4 linked regions of the Callithrix jacchus genome follow. The protein of the gene in region 4 purifies or fractionates together with the protein of the main gene of each other region. This does not show direct contact. Links are inferred from orthologs where the notes say so. Each region holds a gene or a part of one and is shown on either strand. Other genes may lie near its edges. The genes, in order: SNX9, CASP8, SNX33 and FASLG.

Region 1 (3,563 bases), on a different chromosome or scaffold from region 4:
TATATAAATAAATGGGTATGGGTGTGTTCCAATAAAACTTTATTTACAAAATAGGTGGCAAGCCATATTTGGCCCTCCGGCTATAGTTTGCTGACTCCTGATGTAAGGCTTTGGATTTTCAGATCTGGATTGAATGAACAGTAATATTGCCATTGTCTTTCCTGTGCTATCTTACTAATTCATCTATGAGTCATTCCACATTTAGTTTTCTGCTCTTCAAAATTATTATTGGATTTCAAATTCTGACTGTTTTCCTTTAGTATAAAAACCCCACCTTAAAAAAAATTAACAGATCTCTTTTCCTCTGCTGAGCATCAAAGGGCTGATATATATTACTCATAATTCAAAGTATAAACCATTAAAAATTTTTAAAATGGAATATAACTAATATTTCTGTACAGTGTTAGGAGGTGAAGGCCAGAAAATTCTTAGTGATAGATTAGAAGTCCCTTTTCTCCAGAGGTTGAGACATAGCAACAAGGGCGGACCAGACAGAAAGGAGAGGAAAGTTCTAGTACTCTATGGTAGTCAAAGACATCTGGGCATTCAACAGCAGTGGGATCCCAGCATTTCAGGGCCTGACAAGTCATTCTGCAGCCTCTGTGCCTGAGGGGGTAACAGGGCAGCAGCCCGCAGCATTAGCCCCACAGCTGGATACATGACTGTTTTTCTATCCTGGGCCACATGTGTGGCGACAAAGCTGCATAGTTCTGGGGAATACAGGAAAAACGTTCAGCAGAACCACAGCCTACACACAAAGGAAAAAGAGGGAGGCAGGAAGCTCTCAGGGACAGGGCAGCGTGGGCAGAAAGCCGGGACTCATAGTGACACCCTCCCCTCGGCAGTGCTTCTGCTCTGACATATTTTCTATAACTAACTATACTTTTTTTTTCCTTAAAAATTATGGCTTTAGTCAAATATACAACATCTTACCAAATGAAGATTAAAAATAAAATGAGACTAAATATAGTGACAAGCACTCTCAAAACAGGCAAAAATGATAAATTTTCCGAAGATTATAAAGCCCTAAATTACTGGACCTAATTAAGTGAACATGGTGTTCCTTATGAGACTTCTTAACCTGGCTTTGTTAGTCAATTTTTTTGTGGTTTAACTTGGGTGAAGTGAGGTTAAGCAGTCACAGGAGGGACGTTACTGCCATCCACCAAACACATTTCTGTTCAAGGCATCAGGTTCCCTCTATGATCAGGGACACAAAACTGAGCCTGCATCACCACCTACAGCCCAATCGGCTGTGAGGAGTGGACTTACGCCCTGTGCACCGTTTCCAGTGCTCCTGCCCCACGGTCAGCAGCTCCTTCACACCATCATCCATGGCCTTGGTGAACTTCCCGACGGCCTCGCACTTCTGCTCTCTGTGGGCAAAGGCAGCCATCAGTCACATGAGCAGGAGAAACAGCACTGCTGTCGATCAGGGACACGTAGGCCAAACATAACCACAGACACTTGTTCTCCTGCATGGTAACAACTGCCCTGGCACTAAGTTAGCCTTAAATACAGGCTTGATACAGACGTTTGAAGAACTACTTAAAAAGCAGTTATTATTTTAACTTTGCTTCCTTTCTTCCTCTTCAATTCTTTGTGAATTTTAATTATAATTATTCTAAAGTAAATAATAACTTCTTGAATATCTCATTTAGTAAAATTCTAATCACTGGAGGGACCATCAAATCTATAAAAGAATAACGGGGTTGCTAATGCCAGCTGGTCACTCATTCCAAGTACTCCACGAAATAGACAAAAACCTGGATGCATAATCAGCTAAGTGACCCTAAAGGTACCAGTTCTTTTCTTTTTTGAGACGGAGTTTCGCTTTTGTTACCCAGGCGGGAGTGCAACGGCGCGATCTTGGCTCACTGCAACCTCCACCTCCTGGGTTCAGGCAATTCTCCTGCCTCAGCCTCCTGAGTAGCTGGGATTACAGGCACACGCCACCATGCCCAGCTAATTTTTGTATTTTTAGTAGAGACGGGGTTTCACCTTGTTGACCAGGATGGTCTCGATCTCTTGACCTCGTGATCCACCCGTCTCGGCCTCCCAAAGTGCTGGGATTACAGGTGTGAGCCACCGCACCCGGCCCAAGGTACCAGTTCTTAACAAGGATGTCAAAGCGTATTTACCAACCTGAAAAGATCACAATACTGTTAGATGAGAAAAGCAGATTATAAAACAAAATGGAGAGTGTGAGGTCATTTCTGTTTAAACAATCTTTCCTGTAATTGTGTACAGAGGAGGACTTGGGAGACTATACACTAACATATTAACACTGATTTTCTCTCTGGGTGGTTGAAGGGTTATGTTTGTGTGTGTGTGTGTGTGTGTGTGTGTGTGTGTGTGTGTGTGTGTGTTTCTTGTCTATACTTTTGGTAACACATACGCAATAATTTTATGATAAAAAAGCTTAAAATTAAAAAACACAAATTTCTTATAAGTCCTTAATAGAAAAGGAACTACTCCAAAGTTTCAACTGAGCCTGTATTTAAAAACTAAATAATAAAATCAATAGATTAACAAAAAACCACATAGAAAAAGCAGGTTAGAGACTGCCTCCTCAAGGCCATGTTCAAAGAGATTTGCTGTCTGAATACTGTGTGGGTTTTAGGCGGCTCCGTGCCGCCTGGTTTCATCACACTATTGGAAACACTACTCAACACCGTCAACTACGAAGTCACTGGCTTCAAGGTAAAAGAAGTTTAATCTGATGTTATGGTTAGAAAGACAGTACTTCTATGTACAAGCGATATTTCCCTTGTCATTGGACTACAAAGCCCACTTATTTCCTAAAACTCTAGTCTGACAATTTGAGTTTCAGCTGCGGCTATCCTGGTTGAGGCCTGAAAGCCAAAGGAGGTTGTGGATTGAGGAAAAGGAAAACCTGGCAGCGCCTCTCACATTTCTACTAGGTCCAAGTCAGGTGCCTCTGGCTCCATGGTGGAAAATACCATGACTCCCGCCAGCTCATCTCTCTCGGCCTTCCTCTTTCCAGTTTTCCATTCCTGTAAATGAGAATGTGGTAAGGTTCAAGTGGAGAGCACAGTCAAACTGGTCTCCAAAATTCCCAAACAAGACCAGTTCAGTGATCACCTTTGTCTTCCTAATTTCAGGAAGCAGCTCCCCTCTATCTCCCTCTGCACCATGGGCTAAATGCCTTTATACCCCAAATGTCATCTTAGGGCACAAACAGTGTCATGCCACAGAACGGCCCTCATGGGACCAAGTCTTTTCGAACCAATTCAGCCATGTTCCCTTTCCAATGGCTACCTACATAAATACGGCAAATAGAAACACCCTATACTTTTTTTTTTCCTGAGAAAGGGTCTCACTATGCCCGCAAGGCTGGAGTGCAGTGGTGTGATCTCAGCTTACTGTACCCTTGAACTCCCAGGTTCAAGTGATCCTCCCACCTCAGCCCCCCAAGTAGCTGGGCCGTTAGGCATGCGCCCCCATGCCTGGCTAATTTTTGTATTTTTTGTAGAGATGGGGTTTTGCCATGTTAGCCAGGCTGGTCAGGAACTCCTGGGCTGAAGCAATCTGCTCACCTC
Region 2 (3,563 bases), on a different chromosome or scaffold from region 4:
ATGTCTAAAGTTAACGCTGCTCAAAGATGGTAGAACCAAGGCTCCAACACCAATAGCCTGGGTCCTCTGTACTCAAACATTGCACCTCACAACCCTCTGGGTTAATGAAAACAAAAAGGGCATGGACCTGGCCATTAGGGACTTGGACAGTTTCTAAACAGACAATTATTTTTTGTTTTTATTTTTATTTTATTTTTAGTGCAGTGGCATGATCACAGCTCACTGCAGTGTCAACCTCTTGGGCTCAAGTGATCTTCCCACCTCATCCTCAGGAGTAGCTAGGACCATGGGTGCATGCCATCACACCTGGCTGATTTTTAAACATTTTTGGTAGAGATGGGAACTTGCTATGTTGCCCAGGCTGGTCTCAAACCCCTGGGCTCAAGCGATCTTCTTCTTGCCTTGGCCTCCTAATGTGCTGGAATTATAGGTGTGAACCACTGTACCAGGCCAAAAGACAATTATATGTGTTATCCTTCTGGGGATACTAAGTCATAGTGGAATGAATGCAGCCTTGAGGATGCTCAGGCAATGCTTGAGCTGTTGTTCATGGATGGGTGTCTGCGGATAGACAAGGGGATGGGGTGTGGGGGCACAGCAGAAAGGGGTGAGGGCAGGGCAAGCTGGGTGTGTTTGGAGCTTCAGGTCCTTTAGTGTTTGTGGTCTGGTCTGTGATAAAGATGTATTCAGAGACTTTGTATTCCAGAACCAAATGCTTGGCCTTCTTACCGAAGGTAATGACTGGGAGAACACTGACCAATTTTAGTTAGCGATGCCACAGGCCAATGTGTCCTTTGAAAACTTTTTGCTGTTGCAACAAAATCTTGATTTCATAGAAAAAAAATAAAGGAAAACAAGATTAATTTAACTAAAATAAACTGAAAGAAAAGTTGATAGAACTTTAAATTGTTAAGGGTGGGATAGTTGGGGAGGAGTCGTAGACTTCTGTGTCGCTATATACCTGCCTCTTTCCAAGGACTCAACTCGTAAACCATGCCATTAACTGGCTTTATTTTGAAGGGAGGCCTTTGGAATCAAGCCCACTCTGACTCCATATATCAAATGGGACATTACTTAGGAAAAGGTTTCTAAAGTGTCTCCATTTCCCACCACAGGGTCATGCTCTATCAGATTTCAGAAGATGTGAGCAGATCAGAATTGAGGTCTTTTAAGTTTCTTTTGAAAAAGGAGATCTCCAAATGCAAACTGGATGATGACATGGTAAGATCTGGTATCTTACTGAGATTTAGTCCCGAAACTTGGTTAGCCAGGGACATTTCTGAGACCAAAGTGAGGGGCTATTTTGGTAAAAGCAACCTGGATTCTCACTTTTTAACTAGAATAAGAAAGCTGTCAGCACAAGTGTTACAAATGTGCTTCCTTTATCCTCAAGTACTGCTCCTGTTAATTACTGGTAGCAAGGTTGAGTCAGGGGCTGGGAGAGGAGGCTGTTGTGCAAGGGGCAGCCCAGAGTGAGACTCGGCAGAGGCGAGAGGGACAGTGGTGATCTGAGACATTTCCCCACTTCTGCAGTCCCCAGAATAACCTGGGACCTGGAACTCTGGGTGTATATTGTGTCTGTGTGTGTGTTTGTGTTTTGTGTCTCTGTGTGTGTTGTGTATGTCTGTATGCTGTGTGTGTATCTCTGTGTCTGTGTGTGCCTTTCTCTGTGTATGGTGTGTGTCTGTATTTGTGCGTGGTGTATCTTTGTGTGTCTCTGTATAAGTGGTGTATCTCTGTGTGTTCTCTCTGTGGTATGTGTGTCTGTGTGCATGTTGCATAGTGTGTATTTGCATTTATGTCTCTGTGTGTGTATCACTGAATGTTGTCTGTGTGTGTTGTGTGCATCTGTGTGTGTATGTTCATGTGATATCTGCATCTATGTGTCTTTGTGTACTCAGTTCTGGAGAGGCAATGTTGGGGGTGAGGCCATCCCAAGGCTGTCACCATGGTGACTGGATTGCTGTCTAGGACTGTTTCACAGTCCTCAGGTAATGCATTCATAGGAGATTTGAGCTCAGGGCCTGGGGACTGGGTGACATCTGACATGGCTTCTCCTTTATCCTCTTACTTCTGTCTTTCTGGGCCAGAAAACATGGGATTGCTTACCTAGCAGCCTGCTGGCTATGAGAGGCCAGCAGAAACTGTCAGGAGGTCTGCTTGGGAAGAAAGGGCAGGTCCTTGGTTGGAGAAAGTGGAAGTTTAAAAAGAATCTAATCTAAAAACCAGTGGAGCTCAATCCAGACTCCCAACTTTATTTCTTCTCCTCCTAGAACCTGCTGGATATTTTCATAGAGATGGAGAAGAGGGTCATCCTGGGAGAAGAAAAGTTGGATGTCCTGAAAAGAGTCTGTGACCAAATCAACAAGAGCCTGCTGAAGATAATCAACGACTATGAAGAATTCAGCAGAGGTAGAAACAACTTGACAGCCGGGAATCGGCAAAACCTACTGTAAAATTGAAACTGACAAATCCCTCCATGTCACAGTTGTTTCTAATCAAGTACTGTTGTTGGTTTCCTCTTTTAATTCAGAGAGAAGAATGAGCCTTGAAAGAAGTTCAGATGAATCTTCAAATGGTAATGCTTGGAGATATATTTTCAAGGTTTATTTAGTTAATTTACTCTCTGGTACCTGCGTGTTTCCTCCCCACAACCTTCTACCACATGCACTGCTCTCTCTCTCTTTTTTTTTTTTGAGACTGAGTCTTGCTCTGTCACCCTGGCTGGAGTGTAGTGACATGATTACTGCAACCTCCACCTCCCAGGTTCAAGCGATTGTCCTGCCTCAGCCTCCTGAATAGCTGGGATTACAGACATGCACCACCAAGCCCAGCTAATTTTGTATTTTTGGTAGAGATTGGGTTTCATCATGTTGGCCAGGCTGGTCTTGAACTCCTGACCTCAGGTGATCTGCCTGCCTTGGCCTCCCAAAGTGCTGGGATTACAGGCATCAGCCACCACGCCTAGCCATGCCTACTCTCCTAATACCAGGATAACAGTTCACTGGTGACTTGTAGTCCTTCTCTATACATTGAATAATGTGAAAAGTTGTCACAAGGCACAGACTCTGCAGCCCAGGCTGGCAAGTTTGAAATAGGTGCAGAGTTAGTCAGTAATAAGTAATTGAACATCATTTTTTCTGTGTGTGTGTGTGTGTGTGTGTTTGTCCCTGACATGTGCTGCTTGTGTTATGCACTGAGTAGCTGGATTTAAATTATTTTCCATAAGTTCCTTGGTTAAATGATCTCCTTCAAAATTTTGATTAATCAATTTTTTTTTTTTGAGTCAGTGTCTCATTCTGTTTCCAGGCTGGAGTGCAGTGGTGTAATCTTGGCTCACGATAGCCTCGACCTCCCTGACTCAAACAATCCTCTGGCCTCAACCCCCTGAGTAGCTGGGACCACAGGAACATGCCACCATGCCTGGCTAATTTTTGTATTTCTTGTAGAAATGGGGTTTTGCTATGTTGCCCAGGCTGGTCTTGAACTCCTGGGCTCAAGCCGCCCACCTACCTGGGCCTCTGAAAGTGCTGGGACTATAGGCGATTAATCAAGTATGCTTT
Region 3 (4,116 bases), on a different chromosome or scaffold from region 4:
TGCTCCTACTTCAGCCTCCCAAAGTGCTGAGATTACAAGTGTGAGCCACCGTGCCCAGCCCAACACATTTGTTAAATGAATGACTGAGAGAGAAATAAAGACGAGTTGCTCCATTCTATCCAGGCCATCCCCTTCTCCCCAGGGCCCAGCAGAGAGCCAGACTCAGGATGGGTGTCCCGCCTGCACTGGGCCTTACCTTTCTGCAGGTGGATGATGTCAGGGAAGTTGGAGAGCAGGCCCTGGTAGAGAGACAGCGTGTCCAGCATCTGGAAGAGGTCATTCTTGGGCTGCTCAGCAAACATCTCACCGATGGCTTCATAGGTGCGGCCCGTGTGAGAAATGGCACTATTGAGGGCCTCAGAGCAAAAGGGGGGGTCCATCTGGAAGGAATAACTGATGGCCTGGAAGGCACTGCCCAGCTTCTGGAATTCCTTGCGGAAGCCCCCAACATGTTTGCGCACCAGCTCTGACGCCACAGTGCTGAGCTGCAGGACGCTGTCGTCCATCTTCTTACTGAAGGCCTTGAAGGCGTCCACGCGATCTTCCACGTCCTGCAGGTCCTGGTGCTCCGTGGGGATCTGGAAGGTGAGCAGGAAGCTGGCACCCACCATCTCATCCTTCTCCGCCCGGCGTTTCCCCATCTTCCACTGCTTGTCATCCAGGCAGCTGAGGAAATGCTGGAAGCCTTCGTACTGGGAGAGCACAGGGTGGCTGGTCATGTGGTCCATCCAGAGGATGAGTCTCCGCTTCCGCTTTTCAATGAAGTCCTCCTCGAAGCGGCCTGTGGCCTGCTTCTCAGGCAGGTGGGGCACCGAGATGACAGTGAACTTGTGTAGCAGGCGGTTATAGAGCCAGTCAAAGTGTTTGTAGCGCCGGTAGACCGGTGAGGCAGCATGGGTGGGTGTGAGCTTGTAGGAGATGTAGCTTTTGATGCCCTTGAACTTGGTCTGTTTGGTGGGGTCCTCCACAGAGCAGGCAAATGGGTGGGGGTTGGCCTTCCACTGGGGGCCACGAGGGCCCATTTCAATGGAGTATGTCTCAGCGATCTTGGCCATGATGGGCACATCACCCAGGATGAAGGCCTCCACTCCAGAACGCACAAAGCATGAGAAACGGTTGAGGTTACGGCCCACCACACTGCCTCGCTTGGCAGATGCCAGGCTGTCCTGCCGCTCCAGCGGTGGCTTGGGCCGGAAGGCCATGTGCTGGCTGGGGTAGGCACCAGGGTAGGAGAGGTTGAGGGGAGGGTGCCCGTTGGTGCCCAGCCCACCAGCCCGTGGCTCCTCCACCACCGTGCATCCGTCGTCCCAGTCATCCCAGTCATCATCATCATCCTCCTCGAAGCTACCCTGGTTTGAGAGGAAGCCGCTGCCCCCACCACTCCTGGCTGGGCTGGCCACAGTGTTGCTATTGTATAAGCTCACCTGGGTCCCGGGAGAGCCTGCAGGGCTGCTGGAATAGTCAGCATGGTTTGTACTGATGCCGGAACGGACAATCTCCACATAAGACGCAGGAAAGAGCCCTGTCTCCCCACGACTGTTCTGGCCCTGCAGCCAGCCATCCAGAGAGGTCTCACTAAAGATGACCAGGTCCTCATCCTGCTGGATGCTGATTTCCTCCTTGTTCTCACTGTGAAAGTCATAGAGGGCTCGGCCTTTCAGTGCCATGGCTGGGCTGGGTGGTGAAGAAAGATGGGAAGAAGGGGGTCCTGCCCAGACCCGGGATGCTCACAAGGACGTCCAGGAACGTACTCGCGGCTGATGCCACTCACACAGCTCAGCCTGCCTCTCAGGCCCTAAGGTGGGGTCTCAGCACCCACAGATGCTGTCCAGCCTCCTGCTCTTCAAAGCAATGTCCATGGCCCAGAAATTGCCCTATCAGGTCTTCGGGCATAGGTCTGTGAGCAGGGAGGGCTCATGTCCAGTCTCCTCCTCCCTTATCAGCCCCCAGGGAGTTAGAAGGGAGTCTCTCCTTCCTCCCACTCCCAGCAGAAAAATCAAGTGACCTGAAGAAACCTGCTCTGCAAGGGGAAGAATTCTACACTTTCCACTGGAACAACGCTCTAAAATAGAAGAGACTCACTCGGAAATCACCATTCCAGAAACCCGGGCAGGGCTCGGCTGTCCCACTGGCTCCCAGATCCTTTTGGCCGCTCTGGCTTTGGGAGGCTCTCACATTCCTCTGCAGATCTGCCCCTTCCTCCTTCCTCCTCCTCTTGCTCCTGGGCCACTGGGTTTTCAAAAATCCGGAAAATCAAAGAGGGGCAAGGAGAAAAGCAGCAGCCTCCTGAATCGAGTCCAAGGGTGATGTGTCCGGCTTCACAACGAGCCAGGCCGGGAAAACAAGGACTGAGGCTTACACAACAGGCCGCCAACTCTTCGACCCCGGCTGCGCAGCCGGAGCCCCCGCCAGCTCGGGCGCCCTCTCCCCGCCCCAAAAGTGGCCAGCTCCAACCCCGGAGGAGGGAGGGGGCGCGACGAGGCGCTCCGGCGACTTCTGGCCACTCGCTGAGTGGTCTCTTTTGTTTGCCCAATTCCTCAGCAGTTTCTGAGCCTGACGCTGACCCTGCTCTGAATCCCAGGAACCCCGTCCAAAGGTAACCCCAGCAGAAACCGGTCCCGCCCCCGGGACGTACGCCCCCCGCCCCCCACCCTCGCGTGCACACAAACACTCAACAGGAGTTTGGAGAGTGAGCCCCGGCGAGCAGATGGCGGGGCCGTCCGTCCGTCCTCTGCTCGGCCTCGCGGGGCCCAGTCAGTGGGGGGCGGGCTGCGCCCCCAGCCGGCCTTCCCCCGCGCTCGCAGACCCTAGGCGCCGCCAGCGAGACGGCAGCTCCAAAACAAAAAGGCGATTCCGGGAGGTGGCGTCCTGAGGAAGGAGGGGATAGCCGAAGGGGAGGTGAGGGGTGGGGAGAGGGAGGAGGGAGGGGAAAGCAGGCTGGAGACTCGGGCAAACTCCGCCGCGCTTCCGTGCGTCCCAGCGGGGCAGGGACGGCCGGCTCCGCCCTCCCGCGGGCCCGGGGCGCTACAGCCGAGCCCCCGCCTACTCCTCCGCGCGGCTTCCCATCTGGCCGGCGCCCTGGCTCACTGGCGCTCAGTCAGGAAGGCGAGAGGGAGGAGACGACCCGGGAACCAGGGGGCCCGAGAGCCTCCGGGGCTGCTCCCTGGGACCGCCGCCTCTCCGGCTCTCCCTTTGCTTGTGGGCCTTCGCCGGAGACACCTCACGCCCCCATGATTGGAGCGCCCGGCGGGGGAGCGTGCCAGCCGCCGCTGCCTCGCTTCCTGGACTCCGTCATCCTCCTGCCTTTTCCGTGACGCAAATGGAGTAAAACTCAGAAAGTTTGCAAAGCGTGGGGCTGCAAGGAGCACCCGCCAGAGCCAGGATCGGGCGATCGGGGGGTGCGTGGAAAGCTGCGCCAGCTGGGGTGGGGGAGCAGAGTCGCGGACTCGCCTTCCCACCTTCCCATTCCCCACTCCTGCTCCGCCGAGACGGGATGGTGGCGCAGCTCGGAGACTGTTTTCCGGAGGGGCAGAAACCGCCTGCGCTTCCCGGCATCTGACCTAAGAGACCGATAGCTGCGGGTGCAGCACCCTAGCAGACCGGGAGACCCTGCCCTGGGCGACTACCTGGGCTGGGGCGGCGGGGGGGGTGGGGGGGTAGTGGGGAACAGACTACCCTACATCTGCAGCGACAGGGAACAAGTCTAGGTGCGACCCGGTTCTGGGTTGCTGAGTGGGCAGCAGGGACTGCATGTTCTGTCACAGCCAGCAGCAGCAAGGAGAGGTGGTCGGGTAGAGAATCTTAGAGAAGAGGCAAGTGGGGTCTGACCCTGGGTCAGTGTATCTGGAACACTTCCGGCACTGACTCTGCTAGGCACTGTGCTGAGCACTGGGGAGTACATCACAGGCAGTCGGGGTTCCCACCCTGGAGGGCTTACAGTCCACCCTGTCTTGTCTTTAATCAATCCATTCTGTCTCATTCATTCATTCAGTCAAGTTAGACACTCAAGAAACATTGAGTACCTACCTACTCTGCACCAGGCCCCTGAGCCACAAAGAAATAAGACATTATCCTTACCTTCCAAAAGCTCAGGTGTATTGTGACAAGCAAACAGAT
Region 4 (4,009 bases):
CTTAAGATAAATTCTTAGCTATGGGATTACAACGTAAACTATTAGTTCCAAGCTTTTGATTGTATATCCAAAGTGCTCTTCAGAGAAAGCTATAGCAATTTACATGTACACTGGCTGAAACAAATGTTTGAACAGGCTCTTTTCTCTCAAATCTTTGTCAATTTGTGCTTTTTTTTAATTTTTACCAATTTGATGAAAACTTGATATTTCCTATTTTTAATTTGCATTATATTAATTTGAATCTCTTTTCTTATTAGCCATGTGATAATTTACCAATTTCTGGTCCATCTAGAGAAGATAATTGCTTACCAGGCAGATAGACCTGACTCATCTGATCATTTGACTTTTAATCACTAAACTGACTCAAGAGTGGGTGAAATATGAATAATTAGGTACCTATCAGACCAGGCACATTCCACAGATTTTCAAAATGATCTTATTTAAGACATCCTCCAGAGGCTTTATTTTTTTAACAAATATTTCCACTCTGCTTGTGTACATGTGGAAGTTCTAACATATAAGGATTAGGACACAGACACAGGAGCCAGAGCATCCAACAGTGGCTCCTACAAGAACCTAACAATCTGGGATAGCAGACAGGCGACTGGGTTGCCTGCAGTAGCCACATCCAGAGAAATGGGAACTTGCTCCACTTCTTGGCCAGTGCTGCCTTCTGCTTGCTTCTGAGTTTCTAAGGATGAGATTTACCTATTCTCTTTGCAGAGGTATTCTGCTTTTCATCTATTTCTCATTCCATGGTCACTACAGTCAGGAGTTTCCCTACTTGATGAGGCACCAGTCCATGTGCTGGAAAGCCCTGTAGGTGACAAGGCATCAAGAGCCCGTGTTCCTTCCAGCCCCAGTTCCAGACCAGTGTTCTTGGGCGTGTTCACCTAATCTGTCTGGTATTTTGTTTCTCTTCCAAAAGACAGAATGACTGGACTAGATATATTCTAAGCTTCCTTCCAACTCTAAAAATTCAATGAATCGCATTGTAAATCTAAATCTGAAATTTCAGTGAACCTTAGACTAGTGAAGTGTGCCGTAAAATCTATCTGTACAGAGCTTGCAAAACTATGCCCTGACATTTCATGAGATCAGTGTTCAACATGTCATCTTCTTGTCCTAGCTCCCATACAAAGGGTTTTCCTTTGTGATCAAGGGTACCTCATGACCGTCTCTGTGGGTGAAGCTGAATGTCCTTTGAATGATGGCTGAAGTCTTCCCCTAAGCTACTCAGTGACTTCAAGAAAAACCATCCTATTGTGGGCAATTGATTATCCTCATTAAAAGCATACATCCTATAAAATAGTTTATAAATTAAGCTTCACTGTAATCTCTTTAGAGAGTTTAAAAGAGGAGAGGACGTTTCTGAGAAACATCTATCTCTGCCTTCACCTCGCCTTCTCTTCCCAGGAGTCAAAGCCACTGGCATGTGTGCCACAACCAAGATGCCTGTGGAATGCGACAGACCTTCCTCAGGGGGCAAAGGTCCAAGTTGTGTATGTGTGTCTCCAAAGTCAAGTGAAAGTGATTTTGAATTGTGTGCTGTGCTCAGCTATACTGATTGTGAGCAATTCAATTGACTTCACATTTTTAAAGCAGCTCGAGGAATCATATTGACCAGAAATTCAGAATCAGCCAGAACTCCTCTCATAGCATACATAAGCCAAAGTGTAGGACAGAATATAAGGCATTCCATTAACATAGTTCAGTGCTGAGGATCATCTTTGGGAACTCATTGTACCCACAAAAAAAGGACTCACCTATTTGCTTCTCCACAGACGATACTGCATGCCTCTGGCTGGCAGACTAGTAAAAGAGAAAGAGAAAAGATGTATAAAAAAAATAAAACTCTTTAAGCAAAAGAGGCAGAATTGTCAAATAAACCAAGCCCTGGAAAAAGAATCCAAATACCTCAGAACTTTTGTTAACTCAGGCTTTGTCCAAGCAATTTTGCCTCACTGTCCCCCAGTTTTGTGATTTGGAATCATATCAATATTTTAAGTACTTTCAAGATTCAGTTTGGTCATCTGAACAAATTTACTTCCAAGCAAAACTTAAAAGTTTGGTTTGTTTGTTACTCCTTGAATCACTAGGTATGAGGCAGGAAGTGGTTCAACAGACTGAGTTGACACATGAGGAAAAGAAAACTGTTGGGCTCTGATGCTTTACGAAACAAAAAATATTCCCCTCACTCATGTGAACCTCCATTTCTCTGCCTATAGAATAGAATAACTAGAACAACCCATTTCTAAGGAAAAAAAAAAGAACTGAAAAGCACTTGGCAAGCCAGGCAGTGGGCCCTGCACCCCCTTATGCCAGGTGCCTCCAGGGCACGGCAGTCCACCAGCAGGCTTACCTCTCGGAGTTCTGCCAGCTCCTTCTGAAGGTGGAAGAGCTGAAACATCCCCAGTCCCAATCCTACCAAGGCAACCAGAACCATGAAAAACATCACAAGGAGACACAGGCCTGTGCTGTGGGTCCCTCCCTTCTTCAGGGGTGGCAGTGGTAATGGAGGCAATGGTGGCGGTGGTGGAGGTGGTAGTGGCGGCGGTGGTGGCGGCGGCGGTGGTCTCCTTTGGCCAGGCCTTCTGGGCACAGAGGTTGGACAGGGAAGCACTGTGCCTGGAGGGGCCCAGGGAGAGCTGGCACTGCTGTCCACCCAGTAGATCTGGGGATATGGGTAATTGAAGGGCTGCTGCATGGCAGCCGGTGACTCCAGCCAGCCCCAGCAAATGGTCTTATTTCTTCCTAATCCTGTAGAGGCTGAGGCGTCAAGGACAGGACTCCTGTTGCTGACTGCTCAAGAGAAAGGAAGCTAGATCTCTCTTATAGAGTTTCCATAGCTAAGGGAAACACCTCTCTCTCATTCTGCTTCTCAGAGAAACGCCCACTCACTTTGCATCTGAAACTGAGAAGTCTCAAGAAGCTCAGAGCAAACCCCTTGGAAGTTTCCGCCCACAATTTTCTTATGAAGGCCTTTGAAGCCCTAGGTGCTGTCGCTGGGCTACCCAAAAAGGCTGGTAGGCTGTGCTCCCCTTCCTTGGGTCCTGCAGAGCAGGTCAGCACTGGGATGTAGCCCTGTTGGTGTCAACTTCTCCCAGCTACAGGAGAATGGCCAGTGGAGATATAATTTTATGAATTATAATCGTATGCATTTTTATAAATTATCATTATATAATTTTAAGAATTCTACAATACATACAACCAAAAAACTATTTTAAAATCCCAAAATAACTCTAACAAAAATTGTTCAGAATCATATTTTTAAATCCATAAATTTTACTGCAAATGGCTCTGAGGTGAAAGACCATGAAGTCATGGCCAAAGAAGTCACTCCCACATTTTACTTTTTGCAAAAGGAAAACATCTGTTGCCATCATCCCTTCCCCACACACAAGTATCATCTACCCTGACCAGCAAATCACCATAATTTACAGAGTAAAAACCTGCTACACCCACTTTAGAAATTAGCTCAGAGGCTGCAAACCAGTGGAACCCACAGAGCTGCTTTGTATTTCACATGTTTTTCTTTTCATTGGTTGCCCACTTTATTTATTTATTTATTTAAAGAGAGACAGAGTCTCACTCTGCCACCCAGCCTGGAGTGCAGTGGTGCTACCATAGTTCACTGCAGCCTCAAAATCCTGGGCTCAAGCAGTCCTCTTGCCTCGACTCCCAAGTATCTGGGATTATAGGCATAGGTCACTACACCTGACTAATTTATTCTATTTTTTTGTAGAGATGGGGACTTGCTATGGTGCCCAGGCTGGTCTCAGCCTCCTGACTTCTAGAGATCCTCCCGCTTCAGTCTCCCAAAGTGCTGGGATTACAGACATGAGCAACTGCACTCAGCCAGCCCAACTGACCACTTTAAATATTGATACTAAAAATATTATATATTTTTAAATACACATTAAAAAAATATTTCTATTCTCTTTTGAAACATCAGAATGTCGGACACCCTCAAGGCCATGGGTAGCAGCTACCCCTGAGAATGAAGGAC

Evidence for each region.
Region 1: the proteins of FASLG (region 4) and SNX9 purify together in Homo sapiens (co-immunoprecipitation; 3 studies listed by BioGRID and IntAct, with this or other methods). This does not show direct contact. The link is inferred for Callithrix jacchus from reciprocal best matches to the Homo sapiens genes FASLG and SNX9.
Region 2: the proteins of FASLG (region 4) and CASP8 purify together in Homo sapiens (co-immunoprecipitation; 8 studies listed by BioGRID and IntAct, with this or other methods). This does not show direct contact. The link is inferred for Callithrix jacchus from reciprocal best matches to the Homo sapiens genes FASLG and CASP8.
Region 3: the proteins of FASLG (region 4) and SNX33 purify together in Homo sapiens (co-immunoprecipitation; 3 studies listed by BioGRID and IntAct, counting the BioPlex papers as one, with this or other methods). This does not show direct contact. The link is inferred for Callithrix jacchus from reciprocal best matches to the Homo sapiens genes FASLG and SNX33.

Annotation. Positions count from the first base shown.
Region 1 is NC_133505.1:164,754,536-164,758,098, reverse strand, and holds part of SNX9 (sorting nexin-9), read right to left. Parts: intron 3,018-3,563; coding exon 2,914-3,017; intron 1,377-2,913; coding exon 1,273-1,376; intron 1-1,272. UniProt on the Homo sapiens protein: Involved in endocytosis and intracellular vesicle trafficking, both during interphase and at the end of mitosis. Required for efficient progress through mitosis and cytokinesis. Required for normal formation of the cleavage furrow at the end of mitosis.
Region 2 is NC_133507.1:122,364,676-122,368,238, forward strand, and holds part of CASP8 (caspase-8), read left to right. Parts: intron 1-1,115; coding exon 1,116-1,221; intron 1,222-2,273; coding exon 2,274-2,412; intron 2,413-2,533; coding exon 2,534-2,578; intron 2,579-3,563. UniProt on the Homo sapiens protein: Thiol protease that plays a key role in programmed cell death by acting as a molecular switch for apoptosis, necroptosis and pyroptosis, and is required to prevent tissue damage during embryonic development and adulthood.
Region 3 is NC_133509.1:22,572,109-22,576,224, reverse strand, and holds the start of SNX33 (sorting nexin-33), read right to left. Parts: upstream 2,842-4,116; 5' UTR 1,668-2,841; coding exon 197-1,667; intron 1-196. UniProt on the Homo sapiens protein: Plays a role in the reorganization of the cytoskeleton, endocytosis and cellular vesicle trafficking via its interactions with membranes, WASL, DNM1 and DNM2. Acts both during interphase and at the end of mitotic cell divisions.
Region 4 is NC_133519.1:30,108,672-30,112,680, forward strand, and holds the start of FASLG (tumor necrosis factor ligand superfamily member 6), read right to left. Parts: upstream 2,809-4,009; 5' UTR 2,708-2,808; coding exon 2,363-2,707; intron 1,813-2,362; coding exon 1,767-1,812; intron 1-1,766. UniProt on the Homo sapiens protein: Cytokine that binds to TNFRSF6/FAS, a receptor that transduces the apoptotic signal into cells. Involved in cytotoxic T-cell-mediated apoptosis, natural killer cell-mediated apoptosis and in T-cell development.